Linked DNA regions of Sus scrofa. The protein of the gene in region 1 interacts with the protein of each later gene in a biochemical or structural test. Links are inferred from orthologs where the notes say so. Each region holds a gene or a part of one and is shown in the gene's direction. Other genes may lie near its edges.

The links.
Region 2: the proteins of SCN8A (region 1) and FGF14 form a complex in vitro, tested with the Homo sapiens proteins (2 studies listed by BioGRID). The link is inferred for Sus scrofa from reciprocal best matches to the Homo sapiens genes SCN8A and FGF14.

What each region holds. Positions count from the first base shown.
Region 1 is NC_010447.5:17,159,255-17,174,614, forward strand, and holds the end of SCN8A (sodium channel protein type 8 subunit alpha), read left to right. Parts: intron 1-119; coding exon 120-224; intron 225-3,742; coding exon 3,743-4,013; intron 4,014-8,043; coding exon 8,044-9,191; 3' UTR 9,192-14,577; downstream 14,578-15,360. UniProt on the Homo sapiens protein: Pore-forming subunit of a voltage-gated sodium channel complex assuming opened or closed conformations in response to the voltage difference across membranes and through which sodium ions selectively pass along their electrochemical gradient.
Region 2 is NC_010453.5:70,854,134-70,869,966, reverse strand, and holds the start of FGF14 (fibroblast growth factor 14), read left to right. Parts: upstream 1-8,025; 5' UTR 8,026-8,902; coding exon 8,903-9,110; intron 9,111-10,549; exon of another isoform or gene 10,550-15,833. UniProt on the Homo sapiens protein: Probably involved in nervous system development and function.

The sequences.
Region 1 (15,360 bases):
CCAGCCCGTGGAGAGAAAAAGGGGTTAGGTCCCCCTTGGTTCTCAGATTGCCCCTTAGGTCCAAACCTGCAGTACGTGAGAGCCAGTTGTAATTTTGTGATCTCTTTTCCGCCCTTTACTTTGGAGGTCAGGACATCTTCATGACTGAAGAACAGAAGAAGTACTACAATGCCATGAAAAAGCTGGGCTCAAAGAAACCACAGAAACCCATCCCCCGCCCCCTGGTGAGTGCCCCATGTGGAAAAACACCTGGCTAGGGTTCCCGCAGAGCGGGGAAAGGGGCAAGTGCCCTCCGTCCTCTTCTCACTGTCCATCCAGAGAGGGGAGGATGGCAGCGGAGGCACGGGGACGAAGGTGTGGGCAGCTCTTACGCTTGGGCTGACCTTCCTCCGAGCCTGCCTTGGCAGCAGCAGAGAATTGGCACGTTAGCCACATTGGCTTTGGTCCTGGCTGGGAGATATTTAGAGAGACCACTAAAAATTAACAAAGTGAAAATGAAAGCTGATCTCTTTCATATCAGTACAAGGTAGGATTTGGTGTTATTTTCCTCTCTATGTAACAAGTCTTTGCAAGGATATGTCAGGAAGCCAAAATAATGCTGCTGCTTTTGTGTGTGTGTATGTGTGTGTGTCTTTTCAGGGCCCCACCCGCAGCATATGGAGGTTCCCAGGCTAGGGGTCTCATCAGAGCCACAGCTGCTGGCCTACACCACAGCCACAGTGATGCAGGATCCAAGCCATGTCTGCGATCTACACCACAGCTCAGAGAGACACCGGATCCTTAACCCACTGAGCAAAGCCAGGGATCGAACCCGCAACCTCATGGTTCCTAGTCAGATTCATTTCCACTGCCCATGATGGGAACTCCCTAAAATAATGCTTCTTCCTGGTTATTTGTGGGAATGGGAGGGGTAGAACTAGGAGAATTGGGTGGCCTGATTTCCTCCCTTGACCTGAGCCTTTTACAAAACAGATTTGGGGGCTGGACTATGCCCCACCCCTGGGTTGGTAGTTGTCTTCTTGCCTCAGAGGAGGAGATGCTCTGCCTGAAGCCCCACTCCCTGCCAGGCGGGTAGAACTTGACCCCTACAAGCCAGGCTCAGAGTTCCTTCTTCTATAACTTTAATTTAAAATAACTTTTATTTAAATTAAAAAAAAACAAAAACAAAAAACCACAGCAGAACTCTTAAAAGCTTACCTGGCAACCTAATCTGTAGAAATAAAAATGGAGCTACTTTGTTTGAATCAAGAGTAGGAGCCCCAGAGAGTTTTCCCAGCTTAGCTTCCATGCCCACTCCCATGCCTAGCATGCCCCCCTTCACCAACTTCTGAGGGAAAGGAAACCCTAGGGCTTTGCAGAACTGTTCCAAAACCATCAAGTTAAGTAACCCTGAAAATAAGCATGAGCTCAAGGGCCAAGGTACCTTAAAAAAAAAAAAAAAAATCATTGAGATCTTGAGAATGTTTCTTATATTCCCTTGCTGTTAATTTCCACTTTGTGATAGAAATGCAGCTGGAGGGACTGTTAGAGGCTTGACGTTTCCAAAGTTCTGTTCAGTACTTTGCACACAGGAACCTGAGAGTATTTCCTTCCACACTAACATATAAATGCTCAGTGTGGTGGGAAGCATTAATAGTTATTCCAGGAGTTCCTGCTGTGGTTCCTCGGTTCAGCAGGTTAAGAACCTGACATAGTGTTGATGAGGATGCAGGTTCCATCCCGGGCCCTGCTCAGTGGGTTAAAGATCCTCCACTGCGGTGGTGCGGGCCGGCAGCTGCAGTCTGATTCGACCCCTAGCCTGGGAACTTCCATAAACCCCAGGTGGGGGCCTAAAAAGCAAAAAAAAAAAAAAAAACTGTTTCTCGAATAGTTACAGATCTCCTGCTGTGAAAAGTCGATGAACAGGGAGAGTTCCCTGTGGCCTAGCGGGTTAAGGATATGGCATTGTCACTCCTGTGGCTCAGATTGTTGCTGTGGTGTGGGTTCAATCCCTGGCCCAGGGTGTGGCCACATCCACATGCTACGGGTGTGGCCAAAAAAAGAAAAAGAAGTGATGAACAAAATTTAGACACCACCATCTAGAGCTTATAATATAGTGGGGCTACAGATACTAATTAAGCAGTTATAAAGTGGGGAATGTTGTGAGAAAAATTACCTGGAGGGCCATGACAGAAAATAACGCAGGCTGGGGGTGGGGGATCTCCTTCAACAGAGAAAGCCTCACTACTGAGGGTCTGTTCGAGTGGATGAGAAGGAGCCAAAATGCTGGGGAGAGATCCTGGAAGAGCAAATGAAGCTCTAAAAGCAGGAGACTTGAGTGTGGCCAGGTGGTGATGACCTAGGGGAGAGGTATGAGGTGAGTGGTATTTTTCAGCCAGGCTGAACTGTAGGAATTTTGTTGCGAGCCCAGTGAGAGGCCAGTGAGAGGTTTTAGGTAGGAGAGTGATGTAACCACTTACGGTTTTTTGGGGTTTTTTTTTGTTGTTGTTTGTTTTGTCTTTTTGCCATTTTCTAGGGCTGCTCCCGTGGCACATGGAGGTTCCCAGGCTAGGGGTCGAATCGGAGCTGTAGCCACCAGCCTACGCCAGAGCCACAGCAACACAGGATCCCGAGCCGCATCTGCAACCTACACCACAGCTCACGGCAACGCCGGATCCTCAACCTACTGAGCAAGGCCAGGGATCGAACCTACACCCTCATGGTTCTTAGTCGGATTTGCTTCCACTAAGTTATGACAGGAACTCCACTGTAGCAAGTGTGATTATTTAAAACCCTAAGTGGGGGTTCCTGTCGTGGCTCAGTGGTTAACAAATCCGACTAAGGACCATGAGGTTGCCGGTTCGATCCCTGGCCTTGCTCAGTGGGTTGAGGATCCGGCATTGCCGTGAGCTGTGGTGTAGGTCTCAGACGAAGCTCCGATTAGACCCCTAGCCTGAGAACCTCCATATACCATGGGTGGGGCCCTAAAAAGACAATAAGTGAATAAATAAATGAAATCACACTTGCTACTGTGTGGAGGCTGCACTGGATGAAGGCAAGAGCAGAGACTCTTCTAGAAGTGCAGAGGGACAATGATGGTGGCTTGGGCTAGAGAAGGGCAAGAGGAATGGAATGAAGTAGATGAATTCAAGGAAGGATGAGCAGGACCTGCCATGGGTTGGGTGGGAGACGAGGCAGAGACAAGAGCAAGAAGGGCCCTCAGACTTGTGGAGGCTGGATGAAGAGCTGAGGGGAGAGGAACCAGCCGGGAGACAGGCAGGGGGAAGGACGGAGCTCGGCTTTGCACTTGCCCGAGCTTGAGATGCTGGCACGTCGTCCGGGAGAGATGAGTGAGCGGCCCGGGAGTTCCGAGGAAGGATGATGGGCTGGCGAAGAAAACGCTTGGGAAGCATGAGGACATAAATAACGTGTAAGCGGTAGGAACGGGTGGGAGCTGAGCTCTCCCAGGGAGAAAGACGAGATGAAGCGAGAGAAGAAAGAGCCAGCGAACGAGACTAAAAAGGAGCCGCGGGAGAGGTACAGGCCCAGAAGAGTGGTCGTGTTAGAACACTCGGGGCGGGGTGTTGGCGTTGGCCCTTGGCCCAGCTCCCGACACCCTGATAGAGCAGCAGCAGACGGCTGGCCGGCATCCCGGCAGCAGCGCAGGCACAGAGGCCTTGCGTCAGCAGGGCAGCAACGTCCCGTTCGCCGGCAAGGTTTTCACGAAGGCTTTTCTCTCCTTCCGCCCGCCCTCCCCGCCCAGAACAAAATCCAAGGCATCGTCTTTGATTTCGTCACTCAGCAAGCCTTTGACATCGTCATCATGATGCTCATCTGCCTGAACATGGTGACGATGATGGTGGAGACCGACACGCAGAGCAAGCAGATGGAGAACATCCTCTACTGGATCAACCTGGTCTTCGTCATCTTCTTCACCTGTGAGTGTGTGCTCAAGATGTTCGCCTTGAGGCACTACTACTTCACCATCGGCTGGAACATCTTCGACTTCGTGGTGGTCATCCTCTCCATCGTGGGTGAGTGGGGCGGGCGGGGAGGGGACAAGGGCCCGACGGGCCCCGAGGAGGGGGCTCCTGGACCTGCTTAGCTGAACTGAATCGTAAATTCTGCGGTTGAGGATGGGGCGGGGCGGGGCGGAGCAGGACAGGGCGGGAGGGATTTGATTCGGTTCTTGCTGTCAGTGAGTTTCCCTCCCAAGAGGGGAGGTTAAAGAAAGGTATTTTCAAATACGGCTACAGTAGCGGTGTAGAGTGGAAACAGGCCTGTGAGAGATCGTGAAGCTGGGTATTAAGGAGACGGTCTGGTGCTGGTGGCAGCAGTGGTGCGGTTGGTGGAGGCGGTGCTCATTTACTAGGAATTGATGGTGCCAGGTCGTTTGAGTTTCTTCACTGGCATTCCTATCTCGTTTGATCCCGATGACAGCCCGGGAAGCAAGGGATTTTATTATCTTGCTGTAAAGATGTCCAAGATCACCTAACTAGGAGGTGATAGAAGTGGAACTCCCATTGCGTTTTAACCATGACTGTATGGCCAAGTTCCCATTGGGCTCAGTGGGTAAAGGACCCAATGTTATCTCTGTGAGGATGCAGGTTCGATCCCTGGCCTCATTCAGTGGGTTAAGGATCCAGCATTGCTGCAAGCTGTGGCGTAGGTTGCAGGTACGGTTCGGAACCCGTGTTGCTGTGGCATAGACCTCAGCTGCAGCTCCAATTCAACCCCTAGCTCAGGAACTTCCATCCGCCCCAAGTGCGGCCGTAAAAGGAAAAAGAAGAAGAAAAGAAAAAAAATACAGTGACCGTGTGGCATCCGCTTCAACCTAAGGACATGGAAGGGCTGATGTCCTGGCAGGCAGAGGACATGGTGCATTTCCCTTTGAAGGGTCATAGGGCACATTAGCCTGCAGGAGGCTCTTGGAAGTCCTGGAGTAAAGGATTCTGTTTGGTAGAGTTCCTGTTGTGGCTCAGCAGGTTAAGAACCAGACATAGTGTCCATGAGGACGCAGGTTTGATCCCTGGCCTTGCCCAGTGGGTTAAGGATCTGGTGTTGCCGTGGCTGTGGCATAGCCTGCAGCTATAGCTCTGAGTCAACCCCTAGCCCAGGAACTTCTGTATGCCACAGGTGCAGCACTAAAAATTAAAAAAAGAATTCTGTTTAACAATCCATCCCACCTTTTTTTTTTTTTTTTTTTTTTTGTCTTTTGTCTTCTTAGGGCCACACCCACGGCACATGGAGGTTCCCGGGCTAGGGGTTTAATGAGAGCTACAGCTGCTGGCCTACACCACAGCCACAGCAACACAGGATCCTTAACCCACTGAGCAAGGCCAGGGATGGAACCTGCAACCTCATAGTTCCTAGTCGGATTTGTTTCCACTGCACCATGACAGGAACCTCTCCATCCCACCTTTATTTGATCACAATACCCTGTTTTGAAGTAATAGTGATGTTTCTCATAGTTCAGTGGGACATACTATGTGCCTGTCGCCAATCTAAGTGCTTTATGTGTTTTAATTCACATAATCCTCGCAACAGCCCTCTAAGTATCACGAGGAACTAAGGCACAGAGCCCAGCCCCCTGGCCTCAAGTCCACACTCCTGACCTCCCACAAAGCACACCTTGGACAGTGCTGCCCTTGTCCATTGTTCTCGAACTTCCTGCCCACCCATCACTGAGTGGGATGGAAAACCCACAGACCCAACCATGCACCCTCTTCTCAGACGGTACTTGAAAATAAGGAGAATTCCTTTTGATAATTGGGATTTCTTAAAATATCATTAAGTTGTTCAGGAGTTCCCGTCGTGGCGCAGTGGTTAACGAATCCGACTAGGAACCATGAGGTTGCGGGTTCGATCCCTGCCCTTGCTCAGTGGGTTAACGATCCAGCGTTGCCGTGAGCTGTGGTGTAGGTCGCAGACACGGCTCGGATCCTGCGTTGCTGTGGCTCTGGCGTAGGCTGGCAGCTATAGCTCAGATTCGACCCCTAGCCTGGGAACCTCCATATGCCGTGAGAGCGGCCCACGAAATAGCAAAAAGACCAAAAAAAAAAAAAAAAAAAATCATTAAGTTGTTCAAAAACAAAAGTATAGAAAAAATCTTTTACATTAAAAGGAGTTGGAATAAGACTCACCCTGGAACCTCCTAGAGGACCCTTTAAATGCTGATTCCCACCGCCTGGGTTGCTGTCCGCCCACCTCTTGCCCCTCTTCTCTGGGCACAAATCCGCATGCATCCTGCAAAACCTCACTCGGGCATCACCTTCTCTCCGAAGCCTTACCTGCCCCCCATGTACAGAACACAAGGGCTGCGTATATTACCTGACGTCTTCCGGTCACTGGTTATGACTTGATTGAGAAACAAAAGGAAGGGCACTGAGAAATCACCTTGTTGGGTCCTGGCTGAGGTAGAGACTTTCTTAAAAGTTCAAATGCCTGTGGAATTCCAGCTCCAGAGGAAACCCTGACAGGTTATCCGGCCAACTCCAAACTTCCTGCGTCTTGTCCCTTCCTGAAAGTTAAGATGCTTTCGTAGCTTAAAACCTTCAAATAAGCCTTCTGCAGTTCACTGCCCCAGTGTTTATGAATCTTTGCGGTGGGAAGCTGTTTCTTTATTTAAATCAACTCTCTCATCCGCTGAGACGCACACCGTCTCGTGGGGGCCTCGAGAGCAAGAGAAGGCACTGAAGGAAAAGCCATGTCACTTCGGCCCCTTCAGCTGTCACGTTCCAACCTCTTCAGCTCCTCTTCCTCTGAGGCCCTCACTGGGCTCCCGTTATCACTGTAGTTTTTAAAGGCAAGTCATCTGCTGGAGGCGGACTCCTGGGTGAATGTGAACAGCAAAAGGCCCTCTGGTGTATGTGTTTCACCCTCTACTTTTCTATCCAGTTACTGCCTTGACACTTTTAGCTGCTGTTACTGGTTTCTGATTTCTGGCTTCAAACGCAACACCTAGAAACTCTCAGTTAAAAATCACTCCTGAGGAGTTCCCGTCGTGGCGCAGTGGTTAACGAATCCGACTAGGAACCATGAGGTTGCGGGTTCGGTCCCTGCCCTTGCTCAGTGGGTTAACGATCCGGCGTTGCCGTGAGCTGTGGTGTAGGTTGCAGACGCGGCTCGGATCCCGCGTTGCTGTGGCTCTGGCGTAGGCCGGTGGCTACAGCTCCGATTCGACCCCTAGCCTGGGAACCTCCATATGCCATGGGAGCGGCCCAAGAAATAGCAACAACAACAACAAAAGACAAAAAAAAAAAATCACTCCTGAGCGTTCCCTCTAGTTGGTAGGCTAGTTTGGTAGGGTAGGGCCACGGGGCAATGAGAAACCAAAAATGTCTTTTCAGAGCCAGGAAGAAGATGCTTTGGGAACTGGTGATAGCGGGGTGTGTAAGATTTCGCAGCCAGAGGGCAGCGAGGTCACGGGGTGGAGCCGAGACTTCTCCTTTACTGTGTGTGTGAATGTAGAAATCTGACGGCATTTCGGAGAAGAATCCATAACACCTCAGAAGGTCACGCGTGGACAAATCTGAGAAAAATGAATTATCCTTGAGTGGGAAAACGGATGGATAAGGACCTAGTCATCAAATGAGTTAATTAAAATTATTGTAACATCAGAGCTCGGTCTCCCAAACATAGTGTAAATCTCAAGAGGAAGTGGGGAAACAGTAAAACAGATAATGGCGTGATGCCTTCCACCTAGCAGGAGGCTCTGTGTCGTCTGTGGGTTCCTCCGTAGCAACAATGGGACGACGATCCCGGGATGGACATTCCATCTTCAGGGCCGTGGTTGCTTCTGGGGCTGATGAGTGGAAGCAAGTTTGGTAAAACGCTCCCATCCATGTTTTCATCTGGGTGTTAGGGACGCAGGGGTCCATTTTATCGTTGTTCCTGCTTCTCTGTGTGTTTGAAACATGCGACTTTCTTTTCTCATTAAGAGCTGAATAACGAGCACTCATTCCCTCAAATCCTTTGAAGGCAGGGGTCCGGAGTGCCCGGCGACCCAAGGAAGGGGAAAGGGCACCTCCAGTCTCAGTAACTATCTTCTGTTCCTCTTCTTAGGCATGTTCCTGGCTGATATAATTGAGAAATATTTTGTTTCCCCAACCCTTTTCCGAGTCATCCGATTGGCCCGCATTGGGCGCATCTTGCGTCTGATCAAAGGCGCCAAAGGGATTCGTACCCTGCTCTTTGCCTTAATGATGTCCTTGCCGGCTCTGTTCAACATCGGCCTCCTGCTCTTCCTGGTCATGTTCATCTTCTCCATCTTTGGGATGTCCAACTTCGCGTACGTGAAGCACGAGGCCGGCATCGATGACATGTTCAACTTCGAGACGTTCGGCAACAGCATGATCTGCCTGTTCCAGATCACCACCTCGGCTGGCTGGGACGGCCTGCTGCTGCCCATCCTCAACCGGCCCCCCGACTGCAGCCTGGACAAGGAGCACCCGGGCAGTGGCTTTAAAGGCGACTGCGGGAACCCCTCCGTGGGCATCTTCTTCTTCGTGAGCTACATCATCATCTCCTTCCTGATCGTGGTGAACATGTACATCGCCATCATCCTGGAGAACTTCAGCGTGGCCACGGAGGAGAGCGCGGACCCCCTGAGTGAGGACGACTTCGAGACCTTCTACGAGATCTGGGAGAAGTTCGACCCCGACGCCACCCAGTTCATCGAGTACTGTAAGCTGGCGGACTTTGCGGACGCCCTGGAGCATCCCCTCCGCGTGCCCAAGCCCAACACCATCGAGCTCATCGCCATGGATCTGCCCATGGTCAGCGGGGACCGCATCCACTGCTTGGACATCCTTTTTGCCTTCACCAAGCGCGTCCTGGGAGACAGCGGCGAGCTGGACATCCTCCGGCAGCAGATGGAGGAGAGGTTCGTGGCGTCCAATCCTTCCAAAGTGTCTTACGAGCCCATCACGACCACCCTGCGGCGCAAGCAGGAAGAGGTGTCGGCCGTGGTCCTGCAGCGCGCCTACCGGGGACATTTAGCCCGGCGGGGCTTCATTTGCAAAAAGACACCTTCCAATAAGCTGGAGAACGGAGGCACGCACCGGGAGAAAAAGGAGAGCACCCCGTCCACCGCCTCCCTCCCATCCTATGACAGTGTAACTAAACCCGAGAAGGAGAAACAGCAGCGGGCGGAGGAGGGAAGAAGGGAAAGAGCCAAACGACAGAAAGAGGTCAGAGAATCCAAGTGTTAGGGGAAAGCTAACTTCGACAGTGTGCAGATGTCCAACGTGCAAGCGAAAGATTGTTTACAAACTTCCTGAATATTATCAATGCAGAACAGCTGTGGAGACACTTTAACCCGAAGATCTATACCAAACGTAGTCTGCTTACCATGTAACACGGTTGCATCTTGAGCAGTGACCTGCCAAGGGCAAAGGACCCTCCTCCCTGGACTCAACAGATTTTCTAATGCTTGGGCAGGTGGTTACTGCATGTTCCACATCAGTCAATGCAACTTTTAGGACAAAACTAACAGGATACAAAAACAGAGGAGAGGCTGCCGGGACCAGTGTATTTCCGTTGCAGCCAAATGGATTTTATTTTTTCATTTTGTTGATTCTCAGAAGCAGAAAGCATCTCTTTCAAAGTTTGTTTGTTCATGCAAACTCTCTTTGCATTCTTACATTAGTTAAGCTAAGCGGCAAAAAGGAAAAAACACACACACTCACATTTAGCCCGTGTCATTTAACGGTCACTTTCTTTGGCATAAACCGCATCTTCTCCACATGGGCTTCACGTGGTTTGGAGATGGGTGGGGGAAAACAAATCAGGTTTCTTCAGGCTGAGGAGGACTTGCTCAGGCCGATTCCAAACATTGTGCTCATTCAATGCGTAGAAATGATTTGCATGATGGCATGCCGTGATCAGAAGTCATGCATGAGAACCATACACCACAGGACACTACCGATCCTGTCCCCTGCCCTGGGTCAGCCTTTGGACAGGACCCAGCCCTGCACCATTCACTGTATTTGGAGAAAAAAATGGTAAGCGTTCCATACCCGCTGCAGTTCTTGACGAATTCTTAGAGGTCTTTCATACACCTTCTGGGTAGGGAAACACAACCAACCAGTCACCACCACCACCACCACCACCACCACCACCAAACAAACCCAGTCCAACAAGCAGATGGATCCGTTGTGTGTATCTGTTTCACAGACATCTCTAACATACAGCCGTTGTTGCACATCTTGAAAGATGAACTGTTTAATGCTGCTCTGTGTCCCATCCACGGGGCAACTTTGATCCCGAATGGCTTGTATTAACGTCACTGTAAAACCAAATCCTAGGGCTAAAAAAAAACAAAACAAAAAGACAAAAAAAAATGTTCATTTGTATCCTGCAATATTTATGATTTGTTGAGCCTTCATACTGGAGAACTGACACTTTGGGGGGACAGAGATAAAAGTGCTACTGTTCAGAGTAGCATGTTATCTCTAGAGGGTCATTTGGGGGAAAGGGGTGCTCACTTCATCAGTAGCGTGCCCGCGTTGTGGCTTTCTCCGGGCTTGGGTCCGTGTGGAGCAGGGTCCGGAGTCTGAGCAGACCGTCTTCCGCAGAGAGGTGGTGGCAAGCTCACACACAGCGTGATTCATGAATGCCTCTTGCCTCCATCACTTGTTTCCACCACGCAGGGCTTCCTTTACCCACAGAGCTGGGTAAGGGCAGCAGCCTCGGCGCCTCAGCTCTGGTTCTTTCGTGTCTTATGAGAATCAGTCGTCACTGGTGGGACCAGTCGAGACAGAGCGGCCTCTGAACCCAGCCCACCTGGTTTCTTTATCGCACTGGTTCTCATGGGAAAGCGATTCAGTGTGAATTCTTAAGAAGTCCCAGTGTCCCCCAGCGTATTCCCTTTTGGCCAGTTTTGCTCTCTGCTTAGTGACCTGCCCATTGTCATTGGAGGGTGGCTTGGGGGGGAACGTCATTGCTTCCATTCCATCTCCTGCTTCAGGGAAGACAGCTTTTAGTCCAGGGGTTTCTCGTCTGCTGACTAGATTTCAGAGCTAAGATGCTGCAGTTGAATGTGTCAGGAAGTCTATACAAAGAACAAGGAGAGACTTCAGCATGCAGGCCCAATCAAAACAAATTCTTCCCCAGCCACACAGTAGAGGGGGGAAAGCCCATAATCAGACACACCAGTCTGCCTTGCAGTAGAAGCACTTTGGATGTAATTTCCCAGCCCACCTGACTAGTTTTGCGTAGAACAAACCACAGCAAGTCAGTGAGCAGAGCTTTCTACCTTGTTGGACCACGAGAAACTGTCCAGCTCTCATAAGCCTGCTTCTGCAGCACCATCCGTAGAACCTTTTGTACTCCACCCAATAGCAGGTTGGGAAGGCGTTTTTCCATCGGCGACCCCGCTAACTGCTAGGATGAATGTATAGTAACATGTACAGGCTACATCGTAAACAGCACAAAACAGCTGACATGTGTGGTTATTCTTTTTAAGAGAATTATAAATACTGTAATATATCATTTTATTTTATTAGCATGCCTTTTTGTAAATACAAATTATTAACTTATTAAATAGGAAATGGCTTCTGGCTTATGCCATTGTCATGTTTATTTTTATTTTTTATACTTTCCTTTCTTCTTAGAACTTAGACGCTGTCAGCCAATGTACATCCCCAAACCAGACAGACAGACAAAAAATTTTTTATTGCTAATGGTCTTTTCCAAAACGACAACAAAAATATATTTTTGTTCCAATGTGCAATAAATTCTAACCACTTCTATGCAAGATTTGGCTAAACTTCATAATTGTTCTTGTTCTTAGGTCTTGAGATGGGCAACAGAGCTATGAGATTCCCGCTCCGTACTCCAAGCGCTCGCGCTAGTGATTGTCATTAAGCTCCTAGAGCCGAGTCATGAGATTTTTCTGAGACCTGACCTCTTTCCTCCCCAGACCCTGCTCCCGGCCCAGCAGGCTAGCTCCTCCGTAACTCGTAACTCACACACCGGCCTTGGTATCTGACACCCATCAGCCAGCTTCACAGGGAAGAAGCCACCTCCACTCTCTTTGAAGTTGCTTTTTTCTTTTTCTTAACTTTTCCCACCTTCTTTTCCCTCACCCAGCGCCCCTTCACACACCGGCCCACTGACTTGCTCGCTCGCTCACTCACTCGCCCTGCTCCACACTTCGTTGGTAGTCAGTGACACCATCACCAGCAGTTTACACCCGCAGTTAACAGGCACTGAACGGAGTCAATGATGACGTTTTTGTGCGTCTTCACTGAGGGGGGAAGTGGCAGCGCTTTGCCAAATATTAACGAAGCCAATCAAAAAGCAGCAGCAGCCACAGTATCACTGCACATATATATATATAGATATATAAATACAATATAAATATTTATTTTTTGTAGCCGGGTCCTTGGTGCAGTATTTATACTCCACAATCCACCTTTAAAAAAAGGACAAAAAGCAAAAAGACACGTGTGATGCTGTTAATTTAAAACGCAGAGCCAAAGCCACTGAGCAGCAGCTGACGCAGTTGCTGGTTTGTGTGTGAAAACACTTTCCCCTCTTCTTTCCTGAACCTCCGCGTTAGGAGGAGACTCCACAATTTAAACCCGAGGGCGAGAGCAGCAAAACCTCCCCAAGGCAGCGGGACCTACTCCCCTCCTCTCCAGGTGAGCCGCTCTGGGCATCAGAAGTTGACTGAGGGGGAGATAAACAGAAACCCCCAGGCAAAGCCCCTGAAACAGAGTTCTTTTATTTTTCATCGCAACCAATGTCAGCTTGTACAAGCCCAGTAGTGAAGACGGGTGTCTTAGTGACTGCATGGCGGCCAGCACTGCTCTAGACGAGGCGTGATGCGAGTCCGTCACTGCTATAAGCCAAAAGGAAACAAAATAAAAACCACCCGTTTTACCGTGCAAGGGAAGCCGGTCTTGGTGTGCGTTTGTTGCTTGACTCTCCCGATTTTCGATTCCTGGGCGGGGTCTGAAAACTGGGACCTTAGCACAGGTGGAGAAAGGAGGGGGAACGAAGGGAGAGAACGCAGAGGGTTTCTCCAAAAGTTCTGGCTAAGGAATAGCGATTGGAGAGAAAAGCAAGGTCCGGGCCTCCCCCCCCCAGGTCCCCGCTTCTTTCCCCCCCCCCCGCCGCATGCGGCACCCCTCCTCCTGCCGGCCCCCAGGAAAGCCCTTCTGCGCTGGTCCCCCTGGCAGCGCCCCCAGAGAGGATGGCAGCCAGCCCAGCTGGGCTGGCCTCACTTCTGCCTTTTTCACCAGTGTGTTAAGAAAACCATTCCAATGCCCCACAGCCTCCACGCTGCAAGCTATTGCTGGGCCCTGCCCTCCATCACCCCGACCACGAGCCAGCAGACTAGGGCTGGTCTCCCTCACGTTCGTGCAGGGAAGGGGGGCGCCCCTCCCTCCCCTTGCCCCGCTTTGGGGACATCCCTCTCTAGGCCACGTCTCCCGGTCCAGGAACACTCAGGAGGATTTTGAAGTGCCCACTCTTGTCCGCTCCAGTAGCTCCACTCTGGAGACAGATGGCGGGTAGGTCAGTCCCCATCCTCCTCCCCTCGGCCCCCAGCCTCCAGGCCTGCTGTGGAGGTGAGATTGCCATGGGTTATGACTTTGTGACTTGAGTCCTGGGCATCTTCTGTAAAGATGCCTCTTTCTTTTCTCAGATGTTGCCCAAAGTTTTGCAAAAAGCTTCGTTCATTTTCAGGTACCCCCACCCCCTAAAGAATCGGCTGCAACGAGCCAGCCAGGGGGACATCAGGAGAGGAGAGGAAGTCTGCGTCCGGAGGGGCCCAAGGTTTGCACAGTCTGTGTTGGGGCTCAGCTTTGTGCTTTCTTGGATTCTCCTTCCAAGAGTAGCAAGATTTCCTCCATTAAAACACTCCTGAGGCGCCCCCTGCCCCTGCCCCCACTGCTGTTTGCTGTACATAGAGGCTGAGTGGGGTGGGGTGGGCGGGTGTGCACGTGTGGTGTGTGTGTGTGTGGAGAATGTATATAGGTAAAGGGGAGCGCGGTCCAGTGGTTCCAGAAGAGGGACAGAACTCCTTTGTTCCATCCCCGGCTCGACCACTGACTCGCTGTGTGGCCTTGGGCAAGTCACTTAACCTCTCTGTGCCTCAGTTTCCCCATCTGTAAAATGGGGATAATAATACTGACCTACCTCACAGGGGTGTTGTGAGGCTTTAACTACATGTTTTGTAAAGTGTTTTTGAGATACAGAGGCCAAGGCACTAGGGAAGGGCAAAGTACTATTTGGACTTTCGGAAGATGAAATGGTACCATAAATGCTGCTATTCTGAGAGCCATTTTAAACTGCACTGCTCCAACCACCCCCGCTTCTCATCACCAGGACAGCAGGTCGAGAAAATGTCTTTCCTTTCACTTGCTTCTGGGGTTTGTGATTATTCTAGACACTTAATTTCTTTCCCTTGCTGTATCTCCTTTCCTCACCCCCCTCGACTTGTTCCCTGTTCCGTTTATGCGGAAATGGCAGAAATGCTTGAGAAATGAGAATGTATAAGTGGATTGGAAGTTTATAGTCTGAAATTTCAATTTTACTTTGTACTGTACATCTTTTTACTTTAGAATTTGCAATAAAGGGTTACGTCAATCTTGTTTTCAACTCTCCTCTTGGACTGGCCTGTCATTCTGTCATTGCTCTTACACCAAAGCCCCGGGGGGGGGGGGGGAGTCAAGCACTCCCACCCAGCGGGACCCTCCAGCCAGCCTCCCACCTTCGGCAGCAGTCTGAGCAGAGTCTGAGAGGGTTCACCCCAGCCCCGCTCCTCAGGTGGCCTGGCAGTGCCCCAGCCCCTCCTCAGGTGGGTGAGAATTGGGGGCTCCAGATGGAGCCTCAGGAGCCCTGCCTGAGTGGAGAGCAGCTGGGAGCAGCAGCCCCTGGAAGTGGGCACACTTCTAGCTGTGCCACCCAAGGCAGGGCCTCAGGGTAAGCAGAAGCTCCAGGGCTTGTTCTGGTCCCCATGGTGTTTCTCTAGCTCCCTACCCCTCACAGATCATTCCCTCTGAGCTCAAACTTTTGGCTCAAGCAGCTCGGGGTTCAAAAACCTGGCTATGCCACTAACTAGCTGTGGCCAGTTTCCTTATGTGTAATGGAGATACGACCTTCCTTTGGGGGTTTTGAAGATTGTATCAAATAATACATGTAACTGCTTTAGCCTAGGGCCTGGCACACGTTAGTGCTCAGTAAGTGGTAGCTCTTAGTGGAAGAATAAGTTCGAGGTAAAGAAGGAACTAAAGCTGACAAGAACTGCAAGGGCCTGCCTCCCCCGCCCACCCCAATGAACGGACACCCAAGCCCCTCCTCCTCCACTGGCAGCCCCGCTGGCTGTGACGGTCACTTCCAACCAACAAACCGATCACTCCCTCCATTGCG
Region 2 (15,833 bases), on another chromosome or scaffold:
ACTTTAAAACAAACACATCCAAAACGTGGGAATGCCTATATAAAACATGTGCTTCTTTCAAAATTTAAAAACAAACAAAAAATATCCTCATGTTCATTAGAGCTTGGGAAACATCCATTGGTTAAGAGAAAATGGTTGATGTTGAGCTCACAAGATGCTGTTGGTATATTTTTATCCCAATTTTATCCAAATTACAAATTCCTTAACTCTGTCCTAAAATATTGGCCTTGATATATTTGACAAATTACTTATATATTGTTTATTGCCATGTTTATTTTTAAAAAACAAAGTTAATGTTAAGTAGTAATTATCTTGAGAAATTATGGATGTGTGTGTATTCTATTATTTGTCTCATTCAAGCAAGTAATAAACTAAAATGCATTATTGTCCAGATGCCAATAATACATTAAACAAAATCAATGTTCAAACATGAAACACAATAATTTTAGACATTTTTCACACCTGCATGGACAGCAATTCAATTATGTGCACTTAAATGTGCAATATTATAAATGTTCATGAGTCTGTCGACATGAACAAAGAAATAGGACTTTTTCTCACAACATAATCTTCAGAATCTAAGTTTATGTGGAAATTACATATTCAGGACATGAATTATTAGGCATACAGCTGAGATTATTAGGGTGCTGTATTAAGGGAGTTAAATAGCCTTCACTCTTGACCTCCAGAAATTTATGATCTAACAGACCTGTGCCATTTATTTGGGGGGTTGTCAATTCTGAGTTGGCATTTTTCTTCATTTACTTTGTAACCTAAATGTAGATTATATGACACATTTTTTTGAAATGTAATTTTCACATTGATTCTGTTAAATTGCTTTATGAATGACACATTTTAACTTAATGACAGGAAATTTTGGTTTACAAATAAGATAATTCCATACATTTTCTTATGTGAGAATTGAATTTGACTTTATAAACTTCTTTTTTTGGGGAAATATAAGAAATAAGCCCAGCCAAGTCATTTTCATTCAATTCAAAGAACATGTGCTACAAATTCAACTTGACTTTCATTGCAAAGTGGCCTGTTGGGCCATGTGTCCAGCAAACATCTATAGGAGGCAATACTGTTTACCTGTTTAACAGTGTGTGATAAAACATATGGATACTGGATTGAAAGTCTCATTTAATTCAAGATGTTTAGGTGTTAAGTTTATAAGCAAAACTCAAAGGGGATTCTTTATCAGTGAGGTTCCAGGTGCTGGGTACCTGTAATGACTTGGACTCTCTGGGAACAGTCAAGAAAACTGAAGCTGTTTGATAGAGTCTGCTTTCACAATAGTTTAATAATGAAATTGTAGACTTAGAACTATTGGAAAAGCTGGGAATGAAAGTCAGGTCAACTATTATCCGTGATCTCAGCCAGAAACACTGAATTTGGTGCTCTTAAGGGTTGATTGGGCTACTGCCATAATTGCCGTCAGGAAGGCTATGATTCTCAAGGATGCACCAGAAACCCACTGTGAATCTCATACTGACTGGCCATTTCCTTCAGAGAATATAGCCTCTTCTCTTCTGCCTTCCAAATCGCATTCGAGAGCCTCTCATTGGAGAGTACTAACCTGGAGCCACACAAAAAGGGCATTGTGGAAAATGTATTCCTCATTTTTCCAGGTGATCTTGTGATAGCTTGGGGGCACTGATGCTGCTCTGTGGACCATAGATGATTAATCGTGCAGAGGGATGTACCTCTTCAGGCACCTGTTCAATACTGTTATTCTTGTTCCACAGTTATCCACATTTTACTTTGATTTTTATTTATTTGCTTCTGGTCATGGCCATGGCATGCAGAAGTTCCCAGGCTGGGGATGAAACCCACACCACACCAGTGACCTGAGCTGCAGCAGTGACAACACTGAATTTCTAACCATTAGGCCACTGGGGCACTCCCCATATTTCATAAAGTGAACTCTTGTTCAGGGCAAATAATATTCTGAATTTTGAAATATACAAGTCTCTCCCGAAATGAAGAAAATTCAGGGGGAAAATCTCTCTTGTCAATTTAAAATGATATCCTCAAAGTTGTCTTAGTCAACATTTATAGAGATTGAGGACCAGCTTCCAGGTACAGAAAATGTGCCCTCCCCTTAAAATACTTCAGATTATAGATGACAGTGACGGCATACTTCCTTAGAATAAGGCAGAATGAAATTTTGGGTTAGTGGGAGAAAGTAGACTGTTGTTTAAAGTAGTTATAAGAAGTCACCGTTGCTTTGATTTGGTTTTAGTAGAGATGTTTAATTCATATTGAGTTTAAATTACATTAATAAGGGTTTAATGTGTGTATTAATAGAAAGCATGGGTTATTAAAGTTCAGAGACCTGGGTACAATGGGCCATGCTGTACAGGTCCTCAAATTGTTTAGGGCCAGTCCTACCTGTAAAAGGTTAACTCTCACCTGCATCAGAGGATGGAAAGAAGGGTCCTTTGTCTCTTACTGGGCTGTACAGGAAATTAGGGCTTTACTGTCAGGTGTATCTATATAGTCTGAGATAAAGTTCCTTTAGATGAGAAATGAAGTCTTGGGGCATTTCGCCAAGAGAAGCTCATATTTCTGAGGACTCAAGGGATTTCATCTGCTCTTGCCTGTATCCCTTGGCAGGTTCCTCATTGTTTTATTATTATTCTCGCCAACATAATAGGAAAAAAGAGGAGGCTTTTTTTCTTATGTTATTTTCTAATATTTGAGGGTCGTACGAGTGATAATTACTTCTCCCTCTTCCTTCCACATATCTCAGTTCAGATTCAATTAAACAATAAGGCCACCCATGTTTGAAAGATGGAAATAAAACTATTGGTTGTATTCGGGATCATGGTTTTTTTGGGGGGTGAAGTTTAACCTGTGGTAGCAGTGGTTTCTCTAACTACTTCCCCCACATCTGAATATTGCAATGACCCCTCAAGGAAGGGTTTGGATCTGGAGAGCAGAGATATTTACCCAGAACCGGCTTCCCTCTTCACCCCTGTCTTGGTTTCCACAGAGGATGAAGATTCTGGCACAAGTCGTTTACTTAGGAAAGACCATGGCACATGAGCGAGGGATGGATGTTGTAAGGAAGGCGGGGAGGGCCAGTCGTGCGTAAAGCCAATATCCCAGTGGGAGACTGGATCTTAACCCCCCAGGGGAATTCTGGGAAAGAACGGAAAACACACACCTTATCATTATCCCTCCCAAGGGGTAAAGGAACTGGGTATTCAGTGTGGAGAAATTCTCCCAGGGTGGGCTAATTCCAAGGCTTTTCTGAGAGTCCTGGACAGAGAGGAACTTCCGTGGTTTGGACAGAAATTCCTCAGGTTCAGAGATGGAGCTACTGGAAAGTGAACGTCAACCAGAGCACAGGGATAGGGGAGAATGGAAGGCGTATATGGGGGGCACTGTGACGTCTGCTACAAGCCTCCATGAAGAGTTCACAGATAGACTGGTCTCCAGATCTGCTTCTAGAAGACAGGCTGTGGGCTTCATGACTCCCCCAGTGCTTCCTGCAGGGAGAAGCTGAAGCAGAGGAGTATGAAAACTTTTTGCAGGCAGGCAGATCCAGAGAGAGAGAGAGAGAAAAGGCAGGGCCACTTAAGTCATTCCATTCTCATTAAAAAATTGGGAGATGGACTGGAGTTTTCTTTCCAGACTCTTCCTTCCAGAAGAGAGGGGCAGATGTTTTACAAGGTAAATATAGATGCTGAGGTCCTTACAGATCCATTAATCAACTTTTCCTTTCAATCATGTTTCCCCCATTTTTTATCTTCTTTTTTTATCAAGATCATAAGCTCTAAACTGTCATAGGTTACCTCTGACAGGCAGGAAGCAGGGCAGAGGTGACAAGGGGACATAAGATCTGACAATGGGATGTTTGCACTGGTGTGAGAGTAAGAGTGGCTTGTAAGAGGCAGCTGGGACATAAGTGGCTGCTACTACTAAGTGGTTGGAAAGGAGAGTGGCAGATAGCATAAATCCACAGATTATGTGTGATGTACTTGTGCTCTTTCTCCTTTTAATATGAGTAAATAACCCAAATTTATAGGTGTGTTGTAATTAATACCAGACCAGTTCATAAGAGAGTAGAAAGGATAAGCTGCTGTAACAAGGTTCACAAAATACAGCGGCTCAAACAAAATCAAGGCTTCTTTATCATCTAACAGAACAGAGGCAGGTGGGCAATTCAGGATAGATTGGCTGCTCTGTCCAAGATCCTGGGTTTCCTCTCTCTTGGTACCTTATTCCTGGAGCCTGTTCCGCTTCCTGCTCTCCAAGCCGCTCACACCATTACTTTCAGCTCATAGAAAGAAAAACAGAGACGTGGAAGACAAACAACTTCTTTTGGAGAATGTGACTAGGAAATTTAACGCTGCACTTCTGCTTACATCTCATTGGTCAGAATCTGGTCACATGACCATACTTAACTGCGGGGTAGCTGGGACTTCTGTTCTCTACCCGGATACCCATGGGCCCTTCCAAAAGTGTGATGGGGGTGGGGTTTTACTGCTAAAAGGCAAAATGAAGTAGAAGAGTAACTTGGGAACAATTAGAAAAAGCATGGTAAAATAGTTATGCAAATGTTTGATGACTAATCTCATGAAAATTTATGTGTCCTATGATAAAATGAAAGGTATATTTTATTGTGTTCTGGTCATTAAACCTACCTTAAGATTTGCTTACTATAATATGCTGAATGTTAATTTAATTTCTAAGTGAACTTGATTATGAGTACTGGGTTTATTGTACAACACAATCTTAAGATTTTTTTTTCTACTTGTATATGCCATAGATTTAACTGTCAATTTTATTCTATTTTATTTTATTATTATTTTTGTCTTTTTGCCATTTCTTGGGCCGCTCCCGTGGCATATGGAGGTTCCCAGGATAGCGGTCAAATCGGAGCTGTAGCTACCGGCCTACGCCACAGCCACAGCTACTCGGGATCTGAGCCCCATCTGCGACCTACACCACAGCTTACACCACAGCTCACATCAACGCCGGATGCTTAACCTACTGAGCAAGGCTAGGGATCGAACCCGCAGCCTCATGGTTCCTAGTCCGGTTCATTAACCACTGAGCCACGATGGGAACTCAACTGTCAATTTTACAGTGGCTATGAGGTTTTTCTTATTTTCTTTAGTTCTAAAGCTTGCATGTACTTTATAATAATTTCTGGGTTTTGTCATTAATATTGACTTGAATGTAGCATGGCAAAAGGTAAGTAAATATTTTGATGTCTTCCAAAGCAAAACTTAAATAAAGGTCTGAACTTAGGTCAGTGTAAGTATCTTTGGATCATTCCGAAACTGGAGGCAAACAGCCCTTGGTCTTCTTTATTGTGTAACTGGAAATCTGCTTTAATTTTATGAATTAACATCATAATGGAGTCTTGTACAATTACTTCCACAGGGTAAATGCTCAATAAATATTGGTTGAATAATTAAATTGGGTTACTCAGAGTTCATTAGGAATTGCAACTCCCTTGGACCAAAGGTGACCTGAATCAGTATTAGGCCATCTTTTTCAGACAAAAGTATTTGGTATTTTCTGTTTGTTTAATAATGGGACTAATAGCTTATGTAATGTAAACAATGTAATGGTAAATATAGAAAAATGATAAATGTGCCAATATATAAATAAAAATATAATGATAAATATAGAAAAAACTACAGAATTTTTATTTCTTATAATAGGAGACTTCTCCTTCCTTTTCACAGCATAAAAAAAGAGAAGCGACTAACACAGTGCCTGGCACGAGAGATTCTCAATAAATAGTAGTCACAGTTAATTACCTTTTATATTGTTCCTTAGGTCACAGGATAAAGAAGTGATCAGTTTTCCACTAATACAGAGCAAAACAAACCACAAATTCACTGTCACAAGGTAGAGAAGAGAGTCCAGTTTGGAAATGCAAGAAGAGCTGGTTTGAAAAATACTCTCTCTACACGAACTTAGCATGTGAAAAAGTCCAATAATTAACAGAATATGTCCCCAGATTTACTCTGCTTGTGAAATACCCCAGGAAACTCAGCAAGCTTTCACAGAGCCTTAGCGCTTTGTGAGTTCACAAGATCTTGATGGAGAATATCTTTTTAACCAGCGGTTTCTCTGACATATGTCCAATGGTCATATATTGGGATAGACTGGAACTCCCGACACAAGAAAGTTATGGAAACAGCATGTGGGATGTGACCCTGATTACTGCTATCAAAATGTCTTCCCTGGGATAAACCATAATGGAAAAGAATATTTCCAAAAAAGAATGTGTGTATGCATATAACTGAACCACTTTGCTGTACAGCAGAAATTAGCAGCAACATTGCAAATCGACCAGACTTTAAATACGTTCCTTATTATTTGGCGATGCTATCCCAGTTCCCTCTTTCAAAAGAGAGTTTTACTCTTCCGTTTTTGTTTTTGTTTTGTTTTCAGATTCTAAGTCATTTGGCATTAAATTCATGGACTTACTGTTTTCTCTCTTTTCTTACTTCTCAAAATTTACTTAGACTGCAGTTAATCTCGGTAATTTCTTTACACCATTTAACATGATTCCTTAGGCACACTGAGAACGTCAGTGTTTAACTTTCACGTTTCTTAACTTTAATAAAATTCACTTGTTTTCAATTTCTGTGATGGCTGAAATTGACTGACATATCCCCAAAGGGTTTAGGATATTGGATACAAATTCTGGTATCTCAAAATTCCTCCCAAATGTTAGAAAATTTTAGCAGTGAGAGGGTTGTTGTATTTTCTTTTTTTCTTTTTTTTGGATAAATGAAAATATAACAAGGAGTTAATATTTGATCACGGAGGTAATTTTCTTTAAAATCAGTTTCTTCAATCAATTCTCAACAACATAAATCTGCATCTACTTGTTTATAAGATTGCTTGATATACCATGCAGTAGAGGAAGTGGTTTTAATTTCTTGAAATTAAGATGGAGCGTCTGAATGTATATTTTTTAAGTTACAAACTTTAGGTCGGTTTTCCCATGAAAGTGGAAATAAGCTGGCATAACTTTACTTCATTTGCCAAACAGCAGTGTGAGGGATCAGCTTTACTTTTCCGAAATGCTCAGCTCACAACTATGAAATTTTAACATTGAGTAATTTTGACTGGTGAGTACACAGGAGTTTGTTACATATTCTTTATCATAGTTTGTACTATTTTATATATTGTATTTTTTTCCCAGGTAAAGTAAAATACGTCTATAGCTCTGTCCTAAAGCTTTGATTTTTCAGGAGATTAGGAAGCTGGGTTGTATCCTGATGAAAGAGAAAATTGGTCCATTTTGCTAGGTTAGATTGTGGTGCCTGGTGACAAGGTTAAATATTAATGTAGATAAGTGAATGAAGGTGATTTTAATGTTAGTTTAATTAATGGGTGCAGAAACAAGCAATGAATTAGGGTGTGAATCAGAGTGCTTTCAGTACCAAAATAAATATAAATATATAATCACCCATTATCTTCATATGTATATATATATATATGGGTTGTCTGTCTAGAAAAGGCATAAATATTCTCATTTACATATGACCCTCTCAGCAAAATATAGTTTGTCACCCAGCTTTTAGTGGTTGCCCTTTTAACAGGCTGTTTCTGCAAGTACATATTTGTCATATGCCTAGTTTATATTTTTCAAACAGCACTTTAAAGAGGAATCCAATAATAAGAACGAAAGGAACTTGAGTTTTCCTTAATGTTGCAGATACTTTAGATGCCGCTTTGGAAAACGTCAAGTGGAACTCATTTTTGGCGGTGGAGTGGTACCAGACTACTCTTTCCATTTAACCCCCCGTATTTTCTAGGCTTTACAAATTATAATCAATTTTCCTTTTCAAAATTCACCTTTAAGAGAAGGCTCTGTTAGCCGGCTCCAACAGCAGGCAGCGAGCCTGCCTACTCCGGCTGGGCCCAGGAGGGAGAGGGTGGAATATTGGGGCTGGGGCTGGGGCTGGGGCTGGGGCTGGGTGCGGGCGGCGGGGGGACTTCGAGAGGGGAACTAGCGGGGAGACTGCAGTGACACTGCCCTCCCCGGGCGGGTTGAAGCATCTCACTGGTGACGGGTCTGAAAGCACGTGGCTACGTCATGGAAAGCCAGTCTTTTCAATGCAAACTTCAACTCCTCCTCCTCCTCCCCCCTAATGCCTGTAACTCACATCCGAGGCTGGGCGAGGAATCCGGAGGGGAGATTTTCCTCATGCTCGCCGTTGTTGGAAACTGGGAGAGTGAGAGGAAGGAGGCAGGGGCTCTGTGGCGCTGTCGACCTACTACCAGCCTGACCAGGGGAGGGGGCACCTAGATTTGCATCTTTTCTTCGTGGTGATTGAGAACTGCAGGTTCAATCCGATCCCACTGAGCACTGGCGATTGATGATAAAAAAAATCGACACTGGCAGAAGGAAGGCTCTGTCTTCGGCTGTCAGACTCGGAGGTGGTATTGGTGTGTGAGTGTGTGTGCTGGTGGTTTTTTTTTCTTTTTCTTTCTTTTTTTTTTTTTTCTTTTTTCTTTCTTTTCTTCTTTCCTTTTTTTTTTTTTTTTCCTTCTCTCCTAGGGACTACACAATGGCAGTCTCTTCTCAGTGAGATGAACCCTGCTTTGCCTTCTGCAGACCCACCCATCCTCATAGCGATCAAGTAAAAAAGGCTATGGTTTTCTCTTTGGGGATCTTTTGTGCATTACTGTTCTCTCTGATTAGTTCTGGTCTCAGTTGGGATTTCTTTGCCTTTTTGTTTGGCTTCATGCTGAAAAAGGATTTTTTTGCCAACCCTTTGGTAATCCAGTGGTGATCAAGGGGGATAAATCATTCACCCTGGCCGAAAAAAAACAATCACTGAGAAGTCTCAAAGAAATATACCACGTGAGGGGAAAAAACTGGGAGAAGATCCGGAATATTATCGTTTTTCCTATGGTAAAACCGGTGCCCCTCTTCAGGAGAACTGATTTCAAATTATTATTATGCAACCACAAGGATCTCTTCTTTCTCAGGGTGTCTAAGCTGCTGGATTGCTTTTCGCCCAAATCAATGTGGTTTCTTTGGAACATTTTCAGCAAAGGAACGCATATGCTGCAGTGTCTTTGTGGCAAGAGTCTTAAGAAAAACAAGAACCCAACTGGTAAGCAAAACATGCATCATGTTATGTTTTTCCTCATAATAACCTGTCTGTTGCTCATTGAGCTAGATCTGCAGTTCTGCTATGCAGGAAGGCAAGGGGAACAGAAAAGGACCAGGACAGTGTGGTATATAGAGGTGTTGCATGGATAAACAACTAACAGCTGGATCGGCGTCTGTGTGCCCGAAAATCATCCTGGGCATCTCTTGGCTGTGACACAATCCATCACTAGGAGGGAGGAGGAAACTTTTTTTTTTTTTTTTTTAAATATATTTGGTTGCTGATGTTTGGTGGAATATTGAAGGGCTATGGCTTCAGGTTTGGCCCGAGGCAGCTGAAGCTTCGGTAGTTGCCAGGAAAAAGAACCGCGAGCTCTCCCGACTTCTGCTGCAGGTTCGGGGACGTAGCTCGGTGCCCAGACCCGGCTCTAGACTTTCTGATTAGCTTGCACAATATTCGCCACCCCATCGCCTTTACCCAAGTAAAAGAGGCCCCTTCCCTCGCGGCCCCGCTCCTCCGTCAGCCCCCGCCTCCCGCCCCCGTCGAGCTCTCGGTGCCGGAGTATTAATTAACTCCTTCGCCTGTCTGCCTCCGACACCTCCAGCCACCGGGGATACTTGAGCAGGGCTCGTGCCGGGAGGGAACCCCAGACCGAGCACACCAGCCGGGTCACTCTAGTATATGTCATTTAAACCTCCCCTTTAAAAAGCAGTGTCCGGGCCCGGCGTTTGGGTCCCACCGGTGGGATGAGCCTGGCCCTGGGTCGCCGCTTCAGCCTCCTGGCGATCGTGCGCCCCCATTCCAAAAGCCTCCAACCGGGAAACTTGCAGTACATTACATAAGGAATGCAAATGCAGGTGATTCGGGGAGTCGGGTCCCCGGGGTTCACCTCCCGGTATCTCAGTCTGAGGCGTTTGGGGGCGGCCGCGGAGCTGTGGGCGAGCTACCCGGGGAGGCCAGGCCGGAGGGCGGCGTGGTGGCGGCGGCGCGCCGGCGAGGAGGCTGGGCGCAGCGGGTCCGGGAGCCGCGCGCGCGGGCAGCGGGGGTGTGCGGTGTCCCCCGGTTCGGTTCAGGCCGGGGAGGGCCCCGGGCGGGCTGTTTGTGTCTGGGGCCGCGTTGGGGGCGGGGGCGGGGCCCTGGCCGTCCTGCAGTGGCAGCCGGGGCGCCCGAGGCTCCTGACGCTGGCACTGCGGTGTAGTAGATCATGGCTCCCCGCGGGCGCCCTGACACCCCGGGCTCCGCCGCGGCCGCGCTGGCACCCGGAGTCCCAGCGGCCGGGCAGCAAGTGGCTGCCGTCTCCATGCCTCCGAAGCTTTGCTAATGCAGCGTAGCTGGGCGGCGCGCTCCGGAGGAGCTGCCGCCAGCGGGAGCCGGGGAGCCGGAGGAGGAGGAGGTGGGGGGAGGAGGGAGGAGGAGGAGGAGGTGAGGGTGGGCGGGGATGGAGGCGGTGGGTGTGGAGGCTGAGCACCCCGTGCGGCCCCCTCTGCTGCGGCAGGAGGGAACCTGCGAGTAGTTAGAGCGTCCAAAAGGGCAGATGTCCGCGTGCCGGCGGACGCCTGGCAGGTGCCTTCAGCTGGGACGTTGGGTGGCCGTGGAGGCTCTGGGCGCGGTGCTGCAGTTGGCTCTAAGCCTGGGTCTTGGAGTTCTCATCCCAGGGCTCTAGCTCGGCCGGCTCGCTTTCCGTCCCCCTCTTCTTCCCCAGCCCCGCCTCCGTCCCCTGTCCTTTTACCCTTCTCTCCCTTAACTCCTTAGCGTTTAGTAACTCTGAGATGGTACCACCATCCTGGGAATTACTCAGGAGAAAGCAGTGTTGTCACCTTACCCAGCCGCAATTCCAGTTTGGCCAGTGAGGTGCACCCCAAGCCCGCATCAAGCCCAACATTTGCTGGTCCCTAGGCCGTACCTAGATCTGCAACGCTCCCGTTTCCTGGGTTCGCGTGAAGACCCTTTTGGCGAGACTTCCCCAAGTGGATCAAGCCAGGGGCTGCGGTGAGAGGGGAGGGGCTCCTCGCTCACACGGGAAAATCAGTGGGTCTTGAAGCCTTCTTGTGTCCTTCTGACAAGGGAATTCTGTAGAAGCGTTTCTTTAGACTTGGCCATTTGTTTAGGGATCTTGAAGTCAGTCCTTCCATAGTACTGGAGAGTGGGAAATAATTCAACATGGAACACGAAGTTTCCTTACGGCCTTTTATACTTTTTTTTTGTTGTAAACAGTTTTACTGGAAACACTAATTTTCACCCATGCACGATTCAACATCTTTTTTATTACACCTCCCCCATCCCACCCACTTTCATCTCTCTGGAATAAAGTAGATTTTTTTTTTTTTCGTTCTGAGGCGTTTTGGAAGGTGTCAAGCAAATGACGAATTATTTTTAGAGCAATTTATTTTGCAGCTTATGAAGCTAAAGTACTGGGGTGTGAATTGATGGGTTAATTCAAACTATCTAATAATATCAACTATTCTAATAGGATAGTTTGTCTTAGATTGCCACGGGTTAGAGGTCTAGTCTGGGAGTTGCAGCGCTTTGTAAATTATTTGAAAAATGGGACATTAAGGTGGCACCCTATTTAGCTCACCTTGCAAAAGTTTTGCCTTTGGAGATTGAATCAAAGCCATGCCTAGCCATTGCAGTTTCAGGATTGTGGTTGGTCAATTTCATTCCCCTTCTGTTGTTAACATGAAGCCTAAAATCTTTTCCAGGTTTTTTGATCCCAAGATAGCAGTATAACTAAGAAGTTAATTGGGTAATTAAAATAAAACAAAGACTAAAATCCTCTTAACTGTTAAAACCAAAAAGAACAGATTGACTACGACCTATTATGTTATCTTAAATCTAAAATGAGGACAATTAACTGGTTTCAGACTAAGAAGCTTGGCACAGAACCTCTAGTACCAGTACTAGGATCATGAATTTGATGTAAAGACTTCTTATTAGATTAATTTTTCTTCTTAGTCTTTGTAAATTATAAACAAATTTACCGATTATTCCTAGTTCTTTAAGTTGTCAACAAGTATAGGCCATTGGGTCAGGGGTTCCTGAGAGGGATTTTCAGAGCACTGCTATCTAATGGAGTTGATGTGAAAATACACAGATAATTGAGTCATGAACTTAAAGGCAAAGTTGTTCATCTACCCCCAGACTCATTAATGCTTAAAGAAGAGGTGTCTTTTGCAGTTGTTTTCATGTAAAACTTAACTGGAAAAGAGCATAAAGAATATATTTGCACAATCTATGCTTTTTAAAATAAACTGTAATAGTTTGGAAATCCTGGATAGAAAGTAAATTTATTGTCTTTATAAAAAGTCCAATCTTTCACAGTACAACTATCAGAGAACACACACACACACACACACACACTTAAATGTCCTACTGTTCCCTATTTTCCTAGTAGAGCAATAGCTATATGTTTAGAATAAATGTTACCTGCTTCAACTTTCACTGCATGAGTCATTCAAGGTGACTGTATTTTAGGCAGATCATTAAATAAGGAATACTGAGTCTGAGGCATTTATTTTGCCCTGAGGAGGGCTTGATATATTTCTTTAAACCAGTACTGATAGTTTGGACAGACCCATTTGTATCACGGGCCAGTTTGGGGAATAATCTAGGTCACTGAACCTTGAGCGATGGCTGCTAAACAAATAAATATGGCTGGAAAAAAGAGGTCCACAATAAACACGAAGGTCATGTCGCCAATGTCTCTTCAGACACATAATGTCCAACAAGCAAAGGAAGCCACATACCCTCTATTATATACAGCTACTCACAGACACAAACTTGTGTGGCTTGGCAGGATTTTGTAAAGCGCAGATTTTAAGATAAATCATAATTGGATGTAATTTTATTGAGTACCAGTGTTAGTGGCTGGGAGGGTAGGACGTGGATGCCCTAGACAAGTTCTGCAGAGCACGTTTAGAAAATCCCCCACACTCCTGGCCCCGAGTGTTTCCTTTTCTAAACTCTGTCTCCTTCTCTGCCATGTAACTTTGAGCTGAAACAGGCAAGGGTTGGTAGAACTCACTTCCTACTGCCTACTTTTTTTGGGTGTCTTTCATCTCTGCTTTTGCCTTTGACTAAGCTGTTTTAGGTGCCCCAAACATCTGGTATGCTATTGTTACTTATTTAAATACATGTTATTCTTTTAAAGCCACTTGCTCTACAGCTAGGGCCCTCATGTCCTTAAGAAGGGAGAAAATAGGAAGAGGGAGACAAAAAAAGAGTAAGCATTTTTTTTCACTCCTTCTCCTCTGCCTGACGACTCATCCTGGGTTCCTGCAGAGCTGGGGGAACCACAAATGGGCCATGATCTCTGCATTCCCGAACACCGAGCACACAGACAGTGGAATGGTCACTTCAGATGCAGGGCTGGAACACCAAACAGATGTAAGGTCCTTCGGCTGCTATGTTTGCCTCCAGAGTGGGATTCCACATAACATGAGGTGGCCTTGGACTCCATCCAGGAAGCTTTAGTTACTGAAGCAGCAAAATGAGTTTTGCAGGCAGTAGCACTTCCTGAACCAGAGAATGACGTTTTAGGTAGACTTTCAAGGACTGACCTGTTGAGAGTGTGGTGTTTTTTCTTTTGTTTTCACTTAGATCCAAGTTAACAAGCGTGAAATCCCATGCATGATATCCTAAACTTGGTTTTAACAATGGAGGTGACTTCATTGTACCCATACCCAGCCTATTCTCATCTTAGGCAGCATCCGTCACTGAGAACATTTGTTCAAATGATGCATTGCTTTCAGAAGGTGCTAAAGCTAATTCTATACCATATTTCATAGTTCCCACGCAGAACATTCTTTTAAAAATGTTCAAACCCAGTCTTCCATGTTTTAGCAACACAAACACTGAAGACTTTTATGAAGTGTTTTTATACATGTGCTAACAAGGACAACAACCAAAGTTTTTGCTCCTTTGTACATTTTGGCATCATAACTCAATTGACTCATAAGCTTACTATAAATATCATGTAGATGTCTCAAAATGGGAGCATTTATTCAAAATAGTTTCTTATGCCTTCAGGGGAAACAGTTGGGATGTTTGAACAGTGTATTTGAAGCTTCTCTAGTAAGTTTTAAATAAGACACCACACTGCGTCTATATTCTTGATAAAAGCTTTGAGCCCAATTTAGTACCACCTCCAGGAGGGACAGGAGGTTAGGGAAATACCCACTGCCAAGTCTCTCTGCCTAGTACCATAGTCTGGGTGGTGTTTCTAGGGTCTTAGTTTGTGTACCATGTACCAGATTTAGTTATAAGAGTTGAACCTGAGCACAGAAGGGCAAGGAATTGTCTGAGAAGAGTTGTTTCTCCCTCTACCTCCAGTGCTGCACTTTTTGGTTATTCTGCTTTGTAAAGACTACGGATGTATTCCCTGTATATTCCTCTAGTCGGGAGAAATTAATGTTCTGCTTTGACCCAGTAGTAAAAAGTAGGATGAGGAAGCAAAGGGAAGTTGAAAGGAGGAATTCTTAGAAACTTCCTAAACAGAAAAGCAAAAAGGAGGCATACTGCAGACATGGTTTACAGGGAATACTGAAGTTTTGTTTATCTACTCTTCAACATCAGCTAAGAAAGTCACCTAACAATGGACAAAAGTCACTATTGCCCTTATCGTCGCCTGACCAAAAATCCCGTTATGACAAACTGCAGGTTTTCAACATGTTTTTACTAAATGAATTCATAGCAAAAACCAGGCATCTCTGAGAAAGTTAACCAGAGGGCTGTAATTGCCAGTAACATACAATTTCCTTGCTTAAGTTCACTTCATGGGTCTTCCTTTCCCAGAGCCAACCAAGAATTTGGCTTCTGAATAGTAAAGGAAAGAAGGAAAAAAGCTGTTGGTGCCTTCCTACTCTCCATCCGCCATGCCAGGGCATCCTGAAACGGGGCCTGCAAACATTCCCTAGGCCCACATGCTAAGTCTCCAAACTTGAGGCCTTCCTCGGAGGCACCAGCCCAGGCGCCAAAGGCGTCCACCCTCTGGCCCCCTCAGCCTTGACACAGCAAGTGGCAGGGCACCGTCTCGTTCCCTCTGCAGGAGCCCCCTCCGCTTCTTTTCTGATCTTCGATTTTCTTCTTAAAGGCATGCCGCAGAACAGAGTGCATCTGAATTGTTCCTCTTATCATTTTTGAACCCCTTTCTCCGAAGGTGGTCAATGGGACCCTCCCGCGTGGCACGTTTTTGTTCTTGAGGGGCCAGCAGCCAAGCAGCCTCGAGCTCCACTTGTTTTGAAAGGAGGTGCCCCCTCCGTTACTCTTTTGTTCCTTTTTGCTTTAAAGCACTTCCTAACCGCACTCAGCCACTCAGCTTCCGCCCTGCGCGGGCCGCGGAGTCTGTGTCAGGGACAGGACGTCTGGCAGGACGCCACGATTGGGACAGAGCCCCCGCCTTCCTGAGCAGCGAGCGAGGCATGGACTGTTTTCTGCCAGCCAAGAGCCGGCCACCTCTGCGGCTCGGATCTGCTTCCAGGGGTCGGGCCCCGAGCCTGCCTAACGGAGCCCTGGAGAGAGGGGGCACGCGGGCGACGCGTGGCCTTCCTCTGCTGTGACCCGCGGCCAGAGCCCCACATTCCCGCCACCCGGCGCTCCCCTCCTCCGAGCGTCGGGGGCTCTGCTACGCAATGCGGCGGAAGCGGCCCGTCCGAGCCGCCGTAGCGCGGGAGGTTTCCGTTGCTACAGAGATGACCTCTGACCCAGGGGGCGTCTCTGGGGGGGCCC